Macaca fascicularis: one gene and its partners. The protein of the gene in region 1 purifies or fractionates together with the protein of each later gene. This does not show direct contact. Links are inferred from orthologs where the notes say so. Each region holds a gene or a part of one and is shown in the gene's direction. Other genes may lie near its edges.

Evidence for each region. Proteins that work in one complex are often made in the same cells at the same time.
Region 2: the proteins of SF3A3 (region 1) and SNRPA fractionate together in Homo sapiens (co-fractionation; 4 studies listed by BioGRID and IntAct, with this or other methods). This does not show direct contact. The link is inferred for Macaca fascicularis from reciprocal best matches to the Homo sapiens genes SF3A3 and SNRPA.
Region 3: the proteins of SF3A3 (region 1) and SNRNP70 fractionate together in Homo sapiens (co-fractionation; 3 studies listed by BioGRID). This does not show direct contact. The link is inferred for Macaca fascicularis from reciprocal best matches to the Homo sapiens genes SF3A3 and SNRNP70.

Annotation. Positions count from the first base shown.
Region 1 is NC_088375.1:196,924,470-196,929,633, forward strand, and holds the start of SF3A3 (splicing factor 3A subunit 3), read left to right. Parts: upstream 1-1,879; 5' UTR 1,880-1,936; coding exon 1,937-2,032; intron 2,033-2,335; coding exon 2,336-2,383; intron 2,384-4,075; coding exon 4,076-4,128; intron 4,129-4,230; coding exon 4,231-4,336; intron 4,337-5,164. UniProt on the Homo sapiens protein: Component of the 17S U2 SnRNP complex of the spliceosome, a large ribonucleoprotein complex that removes introns from transcribed pre-mRNAs.
Region 2 is NC_088393.1:47,871,986-47,876,701, forward strand, and holds part of SNRPA (U1 small nuclear ribonucleoprotein A), read left to right. Parts: intron 1-72; coding exon 73-245; intron 246-2,759; coding exon 2,760-2,939; intron 2,940-4,716. UniProt on the Homo sapiens protein: Component of the spliceosomal U1 snRNP, which is essential for recognition of the pre-mRNA 5' splice-site and the subsequent assembly of the spliceosome. U1 snRNP is the first snRNP to interact with pre-mRNA.
Region 3 is NC_088393.1:57,065,358-57,070,073, forward strand, and holds part of SNRNP70 (U1 small nuclear ribonucleoprotein 70 kDa), read left to right. Parts: intron 1-2,362; coding exon 2,363-2,425; intron 2,426-2,537; coding exon 2,538-2,592; intron 2,593-4,716. UniProt on the Homo sapiens protein: Component of the spliceosomal U1 snRNP, which is essential for recognition of the pre-mRNA 5' splice-site and the subsequent assembly of the spliceosome. SNRNP70 binds to the loop I region of U1-snRNA.

The DNA of each region.
Region 1 (5,164 bases):
CAATCCAATTTTAGAACATTGCTATCTGTCCAAAATGGATTCCTTGTGCGCATTTGTAATCACTTCCAATCTCTCCGCCGGTCACAAGCAACCACTCATATACTTTCTGCCTCCATAGATTTGCCTTTGTTAAATCAAGTTTAGCCTAAAGCTGCCTCCTTACATATTTTAAATTTAGCCTAAAGGTTTCTCTGTATATGGTGAACTATAACCTAAATGGAGTTGTAAACAGACCATAGCCTACCCTTTGCCAATCACCGAGTTTTGGCCAATCAAATGGCAAACTATGCAAACCGTGTTCAAATAAGGCAAAGGCCAAGCTGTAACCGGTGTTTTTGGTTTGGTTTTTTTGTTTCGCAGGGGCTATGCTAATCTCTGTATGGTTCCAATTTTAGTATATGTGCTGCCATAGTGAGCACCAGTGTTTTTCTTTTAACACCGTTCTGGACATTTTATCTGAACATACACTGTTGTTTTTCTATCTGGCTTCTTTCACTTAGCATGATGCTTTCATGGTTCATCATTGTAGTATTCATTTATTGCAGGATAATGTTCCATTGTACTGTATAGATATACCACACTTTATCCATTTGCCAGTTAATAGACGATTGGGTTGCATCCAGTTTTTGTCTATTATGAATAATGCCGCCGTGAACATGTGAACACATGGACATGTTTGCATTTCTCTACTTACAAGTGAAGATATATAGACACAATCTTTTTTTTTTTTTTTTTTAAGGCTGTATAGCATTTCACAGCTGGTCTTCCTCTGCTTGGATGCACAGTATTTTATTTTATTTTACTTTTTTTGAGACGGAGTCTGTCTCTGTCGCCCAGGCTGGAGTGCAGTGGCTTGATCTCAGCTCACTGCAATGTCTGCCTCCTGGGTTCAAGCGATTCTCCTGCCTCAGCCTCCCGAGTAGCTGTGACTACAGGCGTGTGCCACCATGACGGCTAATTTTTTGTATTTTTAGTAGAGGTGGGGTTTCACCATGTTAGACAGGATGGTCTTGATCTGACCTCGTTGGCCCGTTGGATGCACAGTATTTTATTTAACATATTCCCTGCCGATAGACAAGTCGTTTCTACACGTGAATTTCTTTCTTCCTTTTTTTTTTTTTTTTTTTTTTTTTGAGACTGAGTCTCATTCTGTTGCCCAGGCTGGAGTGCAGTGGCACGATCTCAGCTCACTGCAATCTCTGCTTCCCAGGTTCAAGAGATTCTCCTGCCTCAGCCTCCGGAGTGGCTGAGACAACAGGTGTGTGCCACCACGCCCGGCTAATTTTTGTTTGTTTGTTTTTAGTAAAGACGGGGTTTCACCATGTTGGCCAGGCTGGTCTCGAACCCCTGACCTCAAGTGATCCGCCCGCCTCGGCTTCCCAAAGTGCTGGATTACAGGCGTGAGCTACCACGCCCAGCCTCACATGTGAATTTCTTTAAAAACACCACCAGCAAAACCCCACTATTCCCATTTTACTAAGAAAGGTGCTGAAGTCCAGAGAAGCAGAAAATGTTCTCATAATTTACGCTGAAAGCTGCGTCCTCAAGTTCCGGTTTCCCATCTCCCAGCTGCACTCCAACTGCTCGCGCAGTCCCCACAGTGTACCTGCCCGCCCAGCCGGCCCCAGCAAGCCCCAGGAAGCGGTCCGCTGAACCTCGGGCTCTTGGGTTTTCCTATGTCCCCTGGAGGTATCTGCAAACCTCTCGGCATCGCTCCACCACACCTCCCACCAGTAGGTGGCACTGTTGCCATCTCCATAACATAGACTGGCCTTCCTTGTGGTGCTCATGTTTTCCTAAGTCCCCGGGCACTTCCGGCACTCGCGGAACTTTGATGCAGCTGGATGCGCAACGTGGGGACTCAGGCGCGCCGGGCGGCAGGAGTTGCTTCCGGCCGTGTAGGTGGTCTGAATTGGGAGGCTGCGGCTAAGGGAAGATGGAGACAATACTGGAGCAGCAGCGGCGCTATCATGAGGAGAAGGAACGGCTCATGGACGTCATGGCTAAAGAGATGCTCACTAAGAAGTCCACGGTGAGTGGGGCCTGAGCAGGGGCTGCGGCAGGGGCATGGGCCTCAATCCCGTGTTTGACCTCTGAGAGCTTGCTTTGGCCCTCAGCGCCTCCCCGCACTCCGCCTCCTGCCTCCTCCGGGGCTCCCTCTCCGAGCTCCGGTCTTGGTAACCTCCTCCCGGGGTCCAGAGCCCCAGAGGCCTTTCTTCCTCAGCTGCTAAAACCTGAGCGGATAAAACCTGAGCGGGTAAGCGCCGCCCTCGGGCGGCCTTTTCTATTCCAGAACGCGAGCTAACGGCGTTTGTGTCACCGTTTGCTTTTTCAGCTCCGGGACCAGATCAATTCTGATCACCGCACTCGGGCCATGCAAGATGTGAGTGCCCAGCTGTCTGTCACTCTTTGGGTTGGCGAGGGCGGGAAAAGAGAGGGGAAGTGAAGTGCGGGGTCTCAGCATGAGCACTGGCCAAAGGTAACCGGATTGGCCAGTCGCGAGCTCTCTGCCTGGACAGATATCCACAGGCTGCCGAATGTAAGGGTGCTTCCTCAGTTCTCTGAATGGGGAACTCTTACGCATTCTTCGTTAATCGGAAAGGTGCCCCCCCTTTTTTTTTCTTTTAAGACGGAGTCTCGCTCTGTTGCCCAGGCGCGGTCTCGGCTCCCTGCAACCTCCGACTCCCGAGTTCAAGCGATTCTCCTGCCTCAGCCTCCGGAGTAGTTGGGATTACAGGCGCTCGCCACCACGCCCAGCTAATTTTTGTATTTTTTGTAGAGACGGAGATTCACCATGTTGGTCAGGCTGGTCTCGAACTCCTGACCTCGTGATCCACCTACCTCGGCCTCCCAAAGTGCTGGGATTACAGGCTTGAGCCACTGCGCCCGGCTTACACGTGTCCGTTTTACAGCATCCTGTATCCCTTGGATGTGCAAACAATAGTTATGAGGAGTCCATGACTCAGGTGCATAGCTACAATCCTTGCCTTAAAAAAAAAAAATATATATATATATATGTATGTATGTATACCGTATATTAGTATGTATGTATACCGGATATTAGTGTTTTTCTCCCAGGATACTGCTTTAAAGCATTTTGGACTACTAAACTGCATTTGTCTGGTAGTAGTTTAATTTATTACTTAAAAGAAAAACAAGATGCTATTTAAATTTTTAAACAAGGTGATGAGTAAATGGAGGTTCATTTTACTACGTTCCTTACTCTTGGGTACGTTTGAAATCTGTTTAAAATGGAATAAAAGACTTACTTGGACCTTCTGATTTTCAGGAGATGATCAGATTACAAGCCCTCAGCCCCAAAATACTCTGAAAACCAAGGATTTTATTTTTTTCCCCTTGGGTGATTATTTGGTGTCAAAATCTGACCTGCTGTCACTTGACAGGTTTACTGGCCTGAACCTGTGATAGGCTTTTTATGGTCTTTAATTTACCTCACTTAGTAAATAAGGTATAAGGTTTACTGCAGAACTGTGTGCTCCAGATTCCACTAGGACTGTTACATAATATGTGATACCTTTTCTGAACTTAAAAATTCCAAATTCTGAAACAAATCTGGGCCCAAAAGTTTTGGAGGAGGGGACTATGTACCTGTACCATCCCGAATTAGTATATTTTGACTACAAAAGAAGCCTATGTAATGTTTATTTAGCCTGTCTACTCCTCAGTCAAGCTTTTTGAAATAGTGAATATCATCTTTATCTTTGAGGATGTTAGGTGGGAGCTAGTGTTTAGCCAAAGAGGGTGAGTCTGTTACAGGGAAAGTTAGGCATCGGTGGTATGTAAAAATAGGAGCCACCCCTTAAATGTTATCATTTAGGTAATCTTCCAATCGACCTGCTTAAAAAACTAACCAGGAATCAGGGCTGTTAAAGGGCTATTGAAAAACTAACCAGCAAACAGGGCTATTAAAGGTACTAGGAAGCACAGAACTGTTAAGACCATGTCCATATCTCTTGAGATTGCCCTGGGCTTTGACTGGAGAGCCCTTGTTGTTTGCTTAGCTCTACATTTGTGCAAATTGCCTCATTCTGATGGTTTTGTATTTGCCTTTCAGAGGTATATGGAGGTCAGTGGGAACCTGAGGGATTTGTATGATGATAAGGATGGGTAAGTGACAGTCACAGCTAATCTAGGAGTTAGTGCTTCTGAGGAGCCATGGTTAGAGGACTGACTTTGTGCTCTATCTTTGAAATTTTCCTGAAATTGCAGATTACGAAAGGAGGAGCTCAATGCCATTTCAGGACCCAATGAGTTTGCTGAATTCTATAATAGACTCAAGCAAATAAAGGAATTCCACCGGAAGCACCCAAATGAGGTATGTCCTCCGAAAAGTATTTTCTCCAGACCTATCTTTAAAGCATATAAAGGAAAGTATAAAGGAAACTGGACATGTGCTATTCAAATGCACTTCAAGAAAGAACTTGCCATTTAGGTGCAAGGACCATAGTTAGCTGACATCCTACAACTGCAGTGTTTTCAGCATCTCCCTCAGCTTTGAAGCCAAGGCTGGCCGGGTGCGGTGGCTCACACCTGTAATCCCAGCACTGTGGGAGGCTGAGGTCGGCGGATCACCTGAGGTCAGGAGTTCGAGACCAGCCTGACGAACATAGTGAAACCCCATCTCTACTAAAAATGCAAAAATTAGCTAGGCATGGTGGCATGCGCCTATAATCCCAGCTACTTGGGAGGCTGAGGCAAGAGAATCACTTGAACCCGGGAGGCGGAGGTTGCAGTGAGCCGAGATTGCGCCATTGCACACCATCCTGAGGGACAAGAGTGAGACTTCATCTCAAAAAAAAGCCAAGGCCACATTTCGTGGGCAGCTCCTGGCCAGTGACTAAGCACAGTATGGGTACTAGGGCCCAGCAATTTGGTCCACTGTGAGACTCCTCTGATGAGTTATCTTTGCTCCACGGCTCCCCATTGGGTGGGTCAAGATTTTGTCCAATCTGCATTGTGGTCTAGGCTATCCTGGCCTAATCCTGCTTTCTCCTCCTTTTTGTCTTTCACAGAAATTACTCCCCCCAATAAATTATGCTCCTAACTCTGTCTTTTTTTTTTTTTTTTTTGAGATGGAATCTCACTCTGTCACCCAGGCTGGAGTGCAGTGGCACGATTTCGGCTCTCTGCAAACTCCACCTCC
Region 2 (4,716 bases), on another chromosome or scaffold:
TGATGGTCTTCTATCTGGGCTGCGCTTCTTCTAACAAGGGGAGCTCAGAGGTCTTTTCTTTCCCCACTGCAGAGCTAAAAAAGTCCCTGTACGCCATCTTCTCCCAGTTTGGCCAGATCCTGGATATCCTGGTATCACGGAGCCTAAAGATGAGGGGCCAGGCCTTTGTCATCTTCAAGGAGGTCAGCAGCGCCACCAACGCCCTGCGCTCCATGCAGGGTTTCCCCTTCTATGACAAGCCCATGGTGAGCATTGTGGGTATGGAGGCTGTGTGGGTGTGTGAAATGTTATAGGAGACTGGGCGGGCCTGGATTAGAGGAGGGGATATTAGGGTTCATTCACCAAGGTGAGACTGGACCAGGCTCCCACTGCACCTTGCCTCCTTTAAAAATTTTTTTGGCGGAGTGCGGTGGCTCATGCCTGTAATCCCAGCACTTTCGGAGGCCGAGGCAGGCAGTTTACCTGAGCTCAGGAGTTTGCGACTAGCCTGGGCAACACTGTGAAACCCCGTCTACTAAAATACAAAAATTAGCTGGGCGTGGCAGCATGCGCCTGTAGTCCCAGCTACTCGGGAGGCTGAGGAAGGAGAATTGCTTGAACCTGGGAGGCAGAGGTTGCAGTGAGCCGAGATCCTGCCACTGCTCTCCAGCCTGGGTGACAGAGTGAGACTGTCTCAAAATACGTATATATATGTATATTTGGCTGGACATGGTGGCTCATGCCTGTAATCCCAGCACTTTGGGAGGCTGAGGCCAGTGGATTACCTGAGGTCAGGAGTTCGAGACCAGCCTGGCCAACATGGCGAAACCCTGTCTCTACAAAAATACAAAAATCAGCTGGGCATGATGGCTGGCACCTGTAATCCCAGCTACTTGGGAGGCTGAGGCAGGAGAATTGCTTGAACCCGAGAGGCGGAGGTTGCAGTGAGCCAATATCGCACCACTGCACTCCAGCCTGGGTGACAGAGCAGGACTATATCTCAAAAAATAAAAATAAATTTAAAGAAATCTTAAAAAAATTTTTTTTAATTTATTTTATTTATTTATTTATTTTTGATGAGATAGACGATGCTATCTCCCCTGGAAACGCTGATTTTTGTATTTTTAGTAGAGATAGGGTTTCGCCATGTTGCCCAGGCTGGTCTCGAACTCCTGAGCTCCAGTGATCTGCCGGCCTCAACCTCCCAAAGTGCTAGGATTACAGGCGTGAGCTACTGTGCCACACTAAGAATGTTTAACATACCTTCCCCTACTGAATAAGCACCGTGAAAGAGGGGTTTTTGTCTATTTTTTTCATTGCTTTATTCCCAGAGCCTCGAATTGTGCCTGGCATCTGGCAGGTTCTTCTTTTTTTTTTTTTTTTTGAGACAGAGTCTTGCTCTGTCGCCCAGGCTGGAGCGCAGTGGCCGGATCTCGGCTCACTGCAAGCTCCGCCTCCCGGGTTTATGCCATTCTCCTGCCTCAGCCTCCCGAGTAGCTGGGACTACAGGCGCCCGCCACCTCGCCCGGCTAGTTTTTTTTTTTTTTTTTTTTTGTATTTTTTAGTAGAGACGGGGTTTCACTGTGTTAGCCAGGATGGTCTCGATCTCCTGACCTCGTGATCCGCCCGTCTCGGCCTCCCAAAGTGCTGGGATTACAGGCTTGAGCCACCGCGCCCGGCCTGGCAGGTTCTTCTTAAACAGCTAAGTGAATGAGATTGAACCTGGAAGACTGAGGTGTATTCTTGTGTGATAGGAAATCCCCGTGCACTGCACTCCTCTCCTAGCATTGTCTCCTCGGGCTTTTGGCCTGACGTTTATTGCTGTTCCAGCTTCCCTTGAAAATACCAACAGCCTTTCTACTGAACACTTACTTACTGTGTGTCAGGTACTGTTCCAAGCACTTTAACTCATTTAGTCCTCATAACAGTCCTTTGAAGTGGGAGGTATCATAATCCCCGTTTTTCAGACAAGGAGGTTAAGGCCAAGATATTTATATTTCTGTGTTTCTCAGTAAGCTCCTGATAAGGTCTGATTTTTTTGTTTTTTGTTTTTGTTTTGTTTTGTTTTTTGAGACAGTGACTTGCTCTGTCGCCTGGGCTGGAGTGCACAGGCGCGATCTCAGCTCACTGCAACCTTCGCCTCCCGGGTTCAAGCGATTCTCCTGCCTCCTGCCTCCTGCCTCAGCCTCTTGAGTAGCTGGGACTACAGGTGCATGCCACCATGCCCAGCTAATTTTTGTATTTTTGGTACAAATGGGGTTTCCCGGCCAGGCGCGGTGGCTAGTGCCTGTAATCCCAGCACTTTGGGAGGCTGAGGCGGATGGATCATGAGGTCCGGAGTTCGAGACCAGCCTGGCCAAGATGGTGAAACCCTGTCTCTACTAACAATACAAAAATTAGCCGGGCATGGTGGTGGGCGCCTGTAATCCCAGCTAGTAGTGAGACTGAGGCAGAATTGTTTGAACCTGGGAGGTGGAGGTTGCAGTGAACTGAGATCTCATCACTGCACTTTAGCCTGGGTGACAGAGCAAGACAATGTCTCAAAAAAAGAAAGAAAGAAAAAGAGAGAGAGACAGAGACAAAGAAATGGGGTTTCGCTGCAATGGCCAAACTGGTCTCCACCTCCTGACCTCAAGTGACCTACTCCCTTTAGTCTCCCAAAGGGCTGGGATTACAGGCATGAGCCACAACACCTGGCCCCGGTAAAGGTCCAGTTTTGAATCTTGGCAATTGGGCTCTGAATCCACGCTCTTAACCCGTTCTGCTCTCTGTTTTGGTAGCGTATCCAGTACGCCAAGACTGACTCAGATATCATTGCCAAGATGAAAGGCACCTTCGTGGAGCGGGACCGCAAGCGGGAGAAGAGGAAGCCCAAGAGCCAGGAGACCCCAGCCACCAAGAAGGCTGTGCAAGGCGGGGGAGCTGCCCCTGTGGTGGGGGCTGTCCAGGGGCCTGTCCCGGTAAGCCAGGCCCTGGAGACCAGCCCTCCCACTGCCAAGCCTTCCTCAGCCACATGGACTGGCTTTGGGACAGGGTGGGGAGAGTTCTCCACTTGGGGCTTCAGACCCCCTCCTTTCTGTTTCCTTATAGAGATGTGTGTCTCTCTTTTGGGGTGTTGAGCACCTAGATGATGCTATATCCTCTTGAAACGCTTGTTTCCTCCTTGTGAATGTTTCTCAAGGTCTTTCTTCATGGCTGTGACTTGGTTTCGCTCTCTCCATGGCCTTGATTTTGTCGCCTGTGTCTTGTAACTCATTGTGCATGTAGAAAGTCCAAGTGTCTACTAAGCAACTGTTAGGATTAATAAGTGAACTTCATTTAGAAAGGTTGCTGGATATAAGGGCAATATGGAAAAAATTAGTTTTATTATTTATTAATATTATTTTTGAGACATGGTCTCACTGTCACCCAGGTTGGAGTGCAGTGGTGCCATCACAGCTCACTGCAACCTCTGCCTCAGCCTCCCTAGCAGCTGGAGCTGCCGGTGCGTGCCACCCCACCCAGCTCACTTTTGCATTTTTTGTAGAGACGGGGCTTAGCTGTATCATCCAGGCTAATCTCAAACTCACTGTCTCAGCCTCCCAAAGTGCCAGGATTACATGCATGAGTCACCATGGCCGACCCCCAGTTTTATTTTTATATGCCAGTAACAGACAAGTAGACTTCACATTGAGAAGTAGCACTGAGGGGTAAATCCAACAAAAGGTTTGCAGAATGACTACACTGAAATCACAGAACGTAGCTGGGAGAAATCAGAGACTCAGCAATGGATAGAAGGACTCAGTATTGTCAAGAGGTCAGTTCCATCCAAATTAATGAATATTCAACGTGATTGCAGTCAAAATTCCAACAGGTATTTTGGTAAACAGTGGACACTGATTGGCTCTTTGTAAATGTGTGGAAAGACAAGGCTAAGCCAGGCGAGGATAATAAAGCACCTGGACCTGCATGGCCAGGGGAAGCTCCAGCAACTAGGCCAGACCCAGTGGCTCATGTCTGTAATCCCACCACTTTGGGAGGCCAAAATAGGAGGATTTCTTTTTTTTTTTTTTTTTTTTGGAGACAGAGTCTTGCTCTGTCGCCCAGGCTGGAGTGCAGTGGTGTAATCTTGGCTCACTGCAAGCTCCACCTCCCAGGTTCACGCCATTCTCCTGCCTCAGCCTCCCCAGCAACTGGGACTACAGGTGCCCGCCACCACGCCCGGCTAATTTTTTTGTATTTTTAGTAGAGACGGGGTTTCACTGTCTTGATCTCCTGTTTCACTGTTAGCCAGGATGGTCTCGATCTCCTGACCTCGTGATCTGCCCTCCTCGGCCTCCCAAAGTGCTGGGATTATAGGCGTGAGCCACCACGCCCGGCAGGAGGATTTCTTTAGGTCAGGAGTTCAAGACCAGCCTCCATAAAATAGCAAGACCTCATCTCTACAAAAAATAAAATAGAGAACCGGGTGTGGTGACTCATTCCTGTAGTCCCAGCGGCTCAGGAGGCTGAGGTGGGAGGATCGCTTGAGGACCGGAGGTCGAGGCTGCAGTGAACAATGGTTTTGCCACTGCACTGCAGCCTGAGTAAAAGAGTGAGAGTGAGACCTTGTCTCTTTTTTTCTTTTTCCTTTTTTTTTTTTTTTTTTTTTTTTTTTTGAGACGGAGTCTCGCTCTGTCGCCCAGGCTGGAGTGCAGTGGCCGGATCTCAGCTCACTGCAAGCTCCGCCTCCTGGGTTCACGCCTTTCTCCTGCCTCA
Region 3 (4,716 bases), on another chromosome or scaffold:
TTTGTATTTTTAGTAGAAACGGGGTTTCACCGTGTTAGCCAGGATGGTCTGGATCTCCTGACTTCGTGATCCGCCCACCTTGGCCTCCCAAAGTGCTGGGATTACAGGCGTGAGCCACCGTGCCTGGTCTCAGTTACTAGTTATTTATTTTTTTTTTAATTTTTTTTTTTTTTTTTTTTTTTTTTTTTTGAGACGGAGTCTTGCTCTGTCGCCCAGCCCAGGCTGGAGTGCAGTGGCGCGATCTCGGCTCACTGCAAGCTCCGCCTCCCGGGTTCACGCCATTCTCCTGCCTCAGCCTCCCGAGTAGCTGGGACTACAGGCGCCCACAACCGCGCCCGGCTAATTTTTTGTAATTTTTAGTAGAGACGGGGTTTCACCGTGGTCTCCATCTCCTGACCTTGTGATCCGCCCGCCTCGGCCTCCCAAAGTGCTGGGATTACAGGCGTGAGCCACCGCGCCCGGCCACTAGTTATTTATTTATGAGACAGTTTTGCTCTGTTGCCCAGGCTAGAGTGCAGTGGCGTGATTTTAGCTCACTGCAACCTCTGATTCAAGCAGTTCTCCTGCCTCAGCCTCTCAAGTAGCTGGGGGTACAGGGATGCGCCACCACGCCTGGCTAGTTTTGTATTTTTAGTAGAGATGGGGTTTCACCATTTTGGCCAGGCTGGTTTCGAACTCCTAGCCTCAGGTGATCCACCCTCCTTGGCCTCCCAGAGTGCTGGGATTACAGGTGTGAGCCACCATGCCTGGTAGCCAGGTACTTTTTTTTTTTCTTTTGAGACGGAGTATCGCTCTGTTGCCCAGGCTGTAGTGCAGTGGCACGATCTTGGCTCACTGCAACCTCTGCCTCCTGGGGTTCCAGGGATTCTCCTGCCTCAGCCTCCTGGGTAGCTGGGATTACAGGCATGCGCTACCATGCCTGGCTAATTTTTGTATTTTTTGTAAAGGGGGTTTCACCATGTTGGTCGGGATGGTCTCAAACTCCTAACCTTGTGATCTGCCTGCCTCGGCCTCCCAAAGTGTTGGGATTACAGGCGTGAGCCACCGCACCCCACCAGCCAGTTCCTATTTAATGTGTAGTTGGTGAGACCTTGAAGAACTGCCTTGGCCCTCAGAGGGTGTGCAGTTGTGGGCTTTGGAGCCCTGTTCTGTCAGCTCATGTTGTTTCAGGCCTGGTCCTCTTCACTGGCACTCATCAGCAGGGCCTTGTCATCACTCATTCCCATCACATCCTCTGGCAGTTTGTTCAATGCAAGTGATACTTGGAGCTGTGAGAAGCAATGTGTTTTCTAAACACTGTATTCTTAAGCTAGATGTCACCCGTACCAGTGCTTTTTAAACTGTTTTTGGTGAAGGATAGATACTATTTCCAATCTGTTTGCTTTTGGTATATATGATAGAATTACTTTTTAAAGAAAGACCTCAGACAGGGGTTCGAGACCAGCCAGGCCAACATGGTGAAACCCCCATCTCTACTAAAAATGCAAAAACTAGCCAACATGCTGTCGTGTGCGTGTAAGCCGAGGTACTCAGGAGGCTTAGGCAGGAGAACCGCTTGAAGGATTCTAGTCGGTTCCTGGGTTCCTTTTAGAGACACAGAAACACAGAGGGGAAAGTGGGGTTTAGAATCGCTTGAACCCGGGAAGCAGAGGTTGCAGTGAGCTCAGATCGCACCATTGCACTCCAGTCTGGGCAGCAGAGCACGACTTCGTCTCAAAAAAAAAAAAAAAAAGACCTGCAGAATAAAAGACCAAATTTATATTACAGTCAGTGGACATCAAACTGTGAAATTACTGTAGAAGTTTCTGAACACTTACTCATGGTTTCTGTACTTACCTGTACTTATCACAGTCCAGCAACAGTTTGGATAGTACTGGTCCATGGACCATGCTTAGTTTTTGAGACAGGGTCTTATTCTGTCACCCAGGCTGGAGTGCAGTGTCACAATCATGGCTCACGGCAGCCTTAACCTCTGGTGCCCAAAAGATTCTTCCCCCCTCAGCCTCCCTAGTAGCTGGGACTATAGGTGTGTGCCATTACACCTGGCTAATTTTTAAATTTTTTGTAGAGATGGTGTTTCACTGTTTCCCAGGCTAGTCTGAAACCCCTAGGCTCAAGCATTCTTCCTGTGTCGTCCTCCCAAAGTGCTGGGATTACAAGTGGAAAGCCACTGTGCGTGGCTGCAGACCATGCTTTGATCTGTGCCACTCCCCTCCCTGCACTGTGACAGGGGAAGTGTGAGTGGATGTTTATTTTTGTAGGGGGTGGGGGTGGGAGGGTTGACCTGCTTATTTCTTTGGTGAGTGACCCTTGCCATTTCCCCTAGTCCTTCCCACCCTGTCACCTCTCTTCTTGTTCCCAGGACCCTCGAGATGCCCCGCCTCCAACTCGTGCAGAAACCCGAGAGGAGCGCATGGAGAGGAAAGTATGTCATTGTTGCTTCCTGACCCCCTGTTTTGCCACTGTTTCCAAATGGTCCTTGACACTAGGACACTTCTATCTGCATTTACTTCTCTACTTTCCCTTTCTCTTGACAGAGACGGGAAAAGATTGAGCGGCGACAGCAAGAAGTGGAGACAGAGCTTAAAATGTGTAAGTCTCTCATCCACCATTCGGCTCTCTCCTCCCCCAAACCCTCTGTGTTCTTCCCAGGTCATACCCAGGACCCTGCTGTCACCCAAAGCCTGTTTTGCAGGGAGCAGGGTTGTTAGTTCATTTATTTAGCCCCTGCCACTTGGCAAGCACTGTTTTTGGTTTAGGCTTTTCAGCAGCAGAACATAGGGTAAAAGTTGGCAGGAAGGGAGACCCCAGTACCTTGGGCTCCTCCTGCAGGGGAGGACAGTTAAGGGACTCCCACAACCTAGCTGGGAGTCACAGGCTGAGGCGATGAGTTGTGGGCGAGTGGATCTGTCCTGGCTCTAACGTTAGCTCCTCAACCCTTGGGCTGAGGTTGTTCCATCCCCTCCACATAGAGGAGGAATTGGAGTACAAGACAGATATATTGTTGCCATTAAGCAAACTCATAAGAGGGTCAGATGTCAACCTCCAGTGGCTCTTTATTGTGAGGGTGAAAACTGTACAGTCACACGCAGCATAACAGTGTTTCAGTCAGCAGGGGACTGTGGGTGTGATGGTGATCCTATAAGATTATACCATATTTTCCCGAGTGCAGTGGCTCACTTCTGTAATCCCAGCACTTTGGGAGACCAAGGCGGGTGGATCATGAGGTCGGGAGTTCAAGACCAGCCTGGCCAACATGGTGAAATCCTGTCTCTACTAAAAGTACAAAAATTAGCCGGGCGTGGTGGCGGGCTCCTGTAATCCCAGCTACTTGGGAGACTGAGGCAGGAGAATCTCCGGAAGGCGGAGGTTGCAGTGAGCCGAGATCGCGTCCGCTCTCTGCAACCCAGCCTGGGCAACAAGACCGAAAATCCATCTAAAAAAAAAAAAATTATACCATATTTTTACTGTACCTTTTCTATGCTTAGATACGTTTAGATGCACAAATACTTAGTATTGTGTTAGGGTTGCTGTAGTATTTGGCGTAGTAACATGCTTGGCCTCGGAGCAGTGGGACGCACCCTCTAGCCTGGGAGTGTTGTGAGGTATACCATCTAGGCTCGCGGAAGTGCCGTCTCATGTTTGCATATCGATATCACCATCAAATGACGCACTTCTCAGAACATGACGTGACTCTAGTGAGAAGACAGGTTTTCCTCCTATACCTGTGAACTTCAATGAATCCCTTTCCTCCAAATCCTGGAGTGCAGGGTTTCCTCAGGGTGCTTACACAGAAGTGTGACAGAGGCATCTGGTGGTGCACTCTTTGGACACTGGCTGTCAGAACGCTGCCTTGATGTCCTTCCTCAGATGCCTCAGAGGCATCTCAGAATCAGTGTCCAAACCACAGGGGTTTTCCCTTGCCGCCAACCTGGTTTCCTTTGGGTGTTTTCTCTGGGACGTAGACATTCAAGTGTGCTGGTCATGACCTCATTTTTTGCCATGCAGTTTGTTTCTAACACCTTTTCTAACCCTTTGCTCAGTCTCTCACCAAGACCTATTTGTGTTACTTTCTAAGTGTCACAAACCTGACTCTTCTTTTTGTGTCTATCACCACCACCCAGGTCACCTCTTGCCTGGACAGCACAGTCACAGTCTGCTATAACTAGTTTACCTATGTCTTTTTTTTTTTTTTTTGAGAGAGAGCCTCGCTCTGTCGCCAGGCTGCAGTGGCGCGATCTTGGCTCACCGCAGCCTCCGCCTCCCGGATTCAAGTGATTCTCCTGCCTCAGCCCCCCAAGTAGCTGGAACTACAGGCGTGTGTCACCACGCCCAACTAATTTTTGTATTTTTAGTAGAGACAGAGTTTCAGCATGTTGGCCAGGATCGTCTAGATCTCTTGACCTTGAGATCTGCCCGCCTAGGCCTCCCACAGTGCTGGGGTTACAGGCATGAGCCACTGTGCCTAGCCCTCCCTGCCATTTTTTTTTTTTTTTTTTTTTTTTGAGACGGAGTCACACTCTCTCACCCGGGCTGGAGTGCAATGGTACTATCTTGGCTCACTGCAACCTCCACCTCCCGGGTTCAAGCAATTCTCCTGCCTCAGCCTCCTGAGCAGCTGGGACTATAGGTGTGCGCCACCATGCCCGGCTAATTTTTGTAATTTTAGTAGAGATGGAGTTTCACTGTATTGGCCAGGCTGGTCTCGAACTTCTG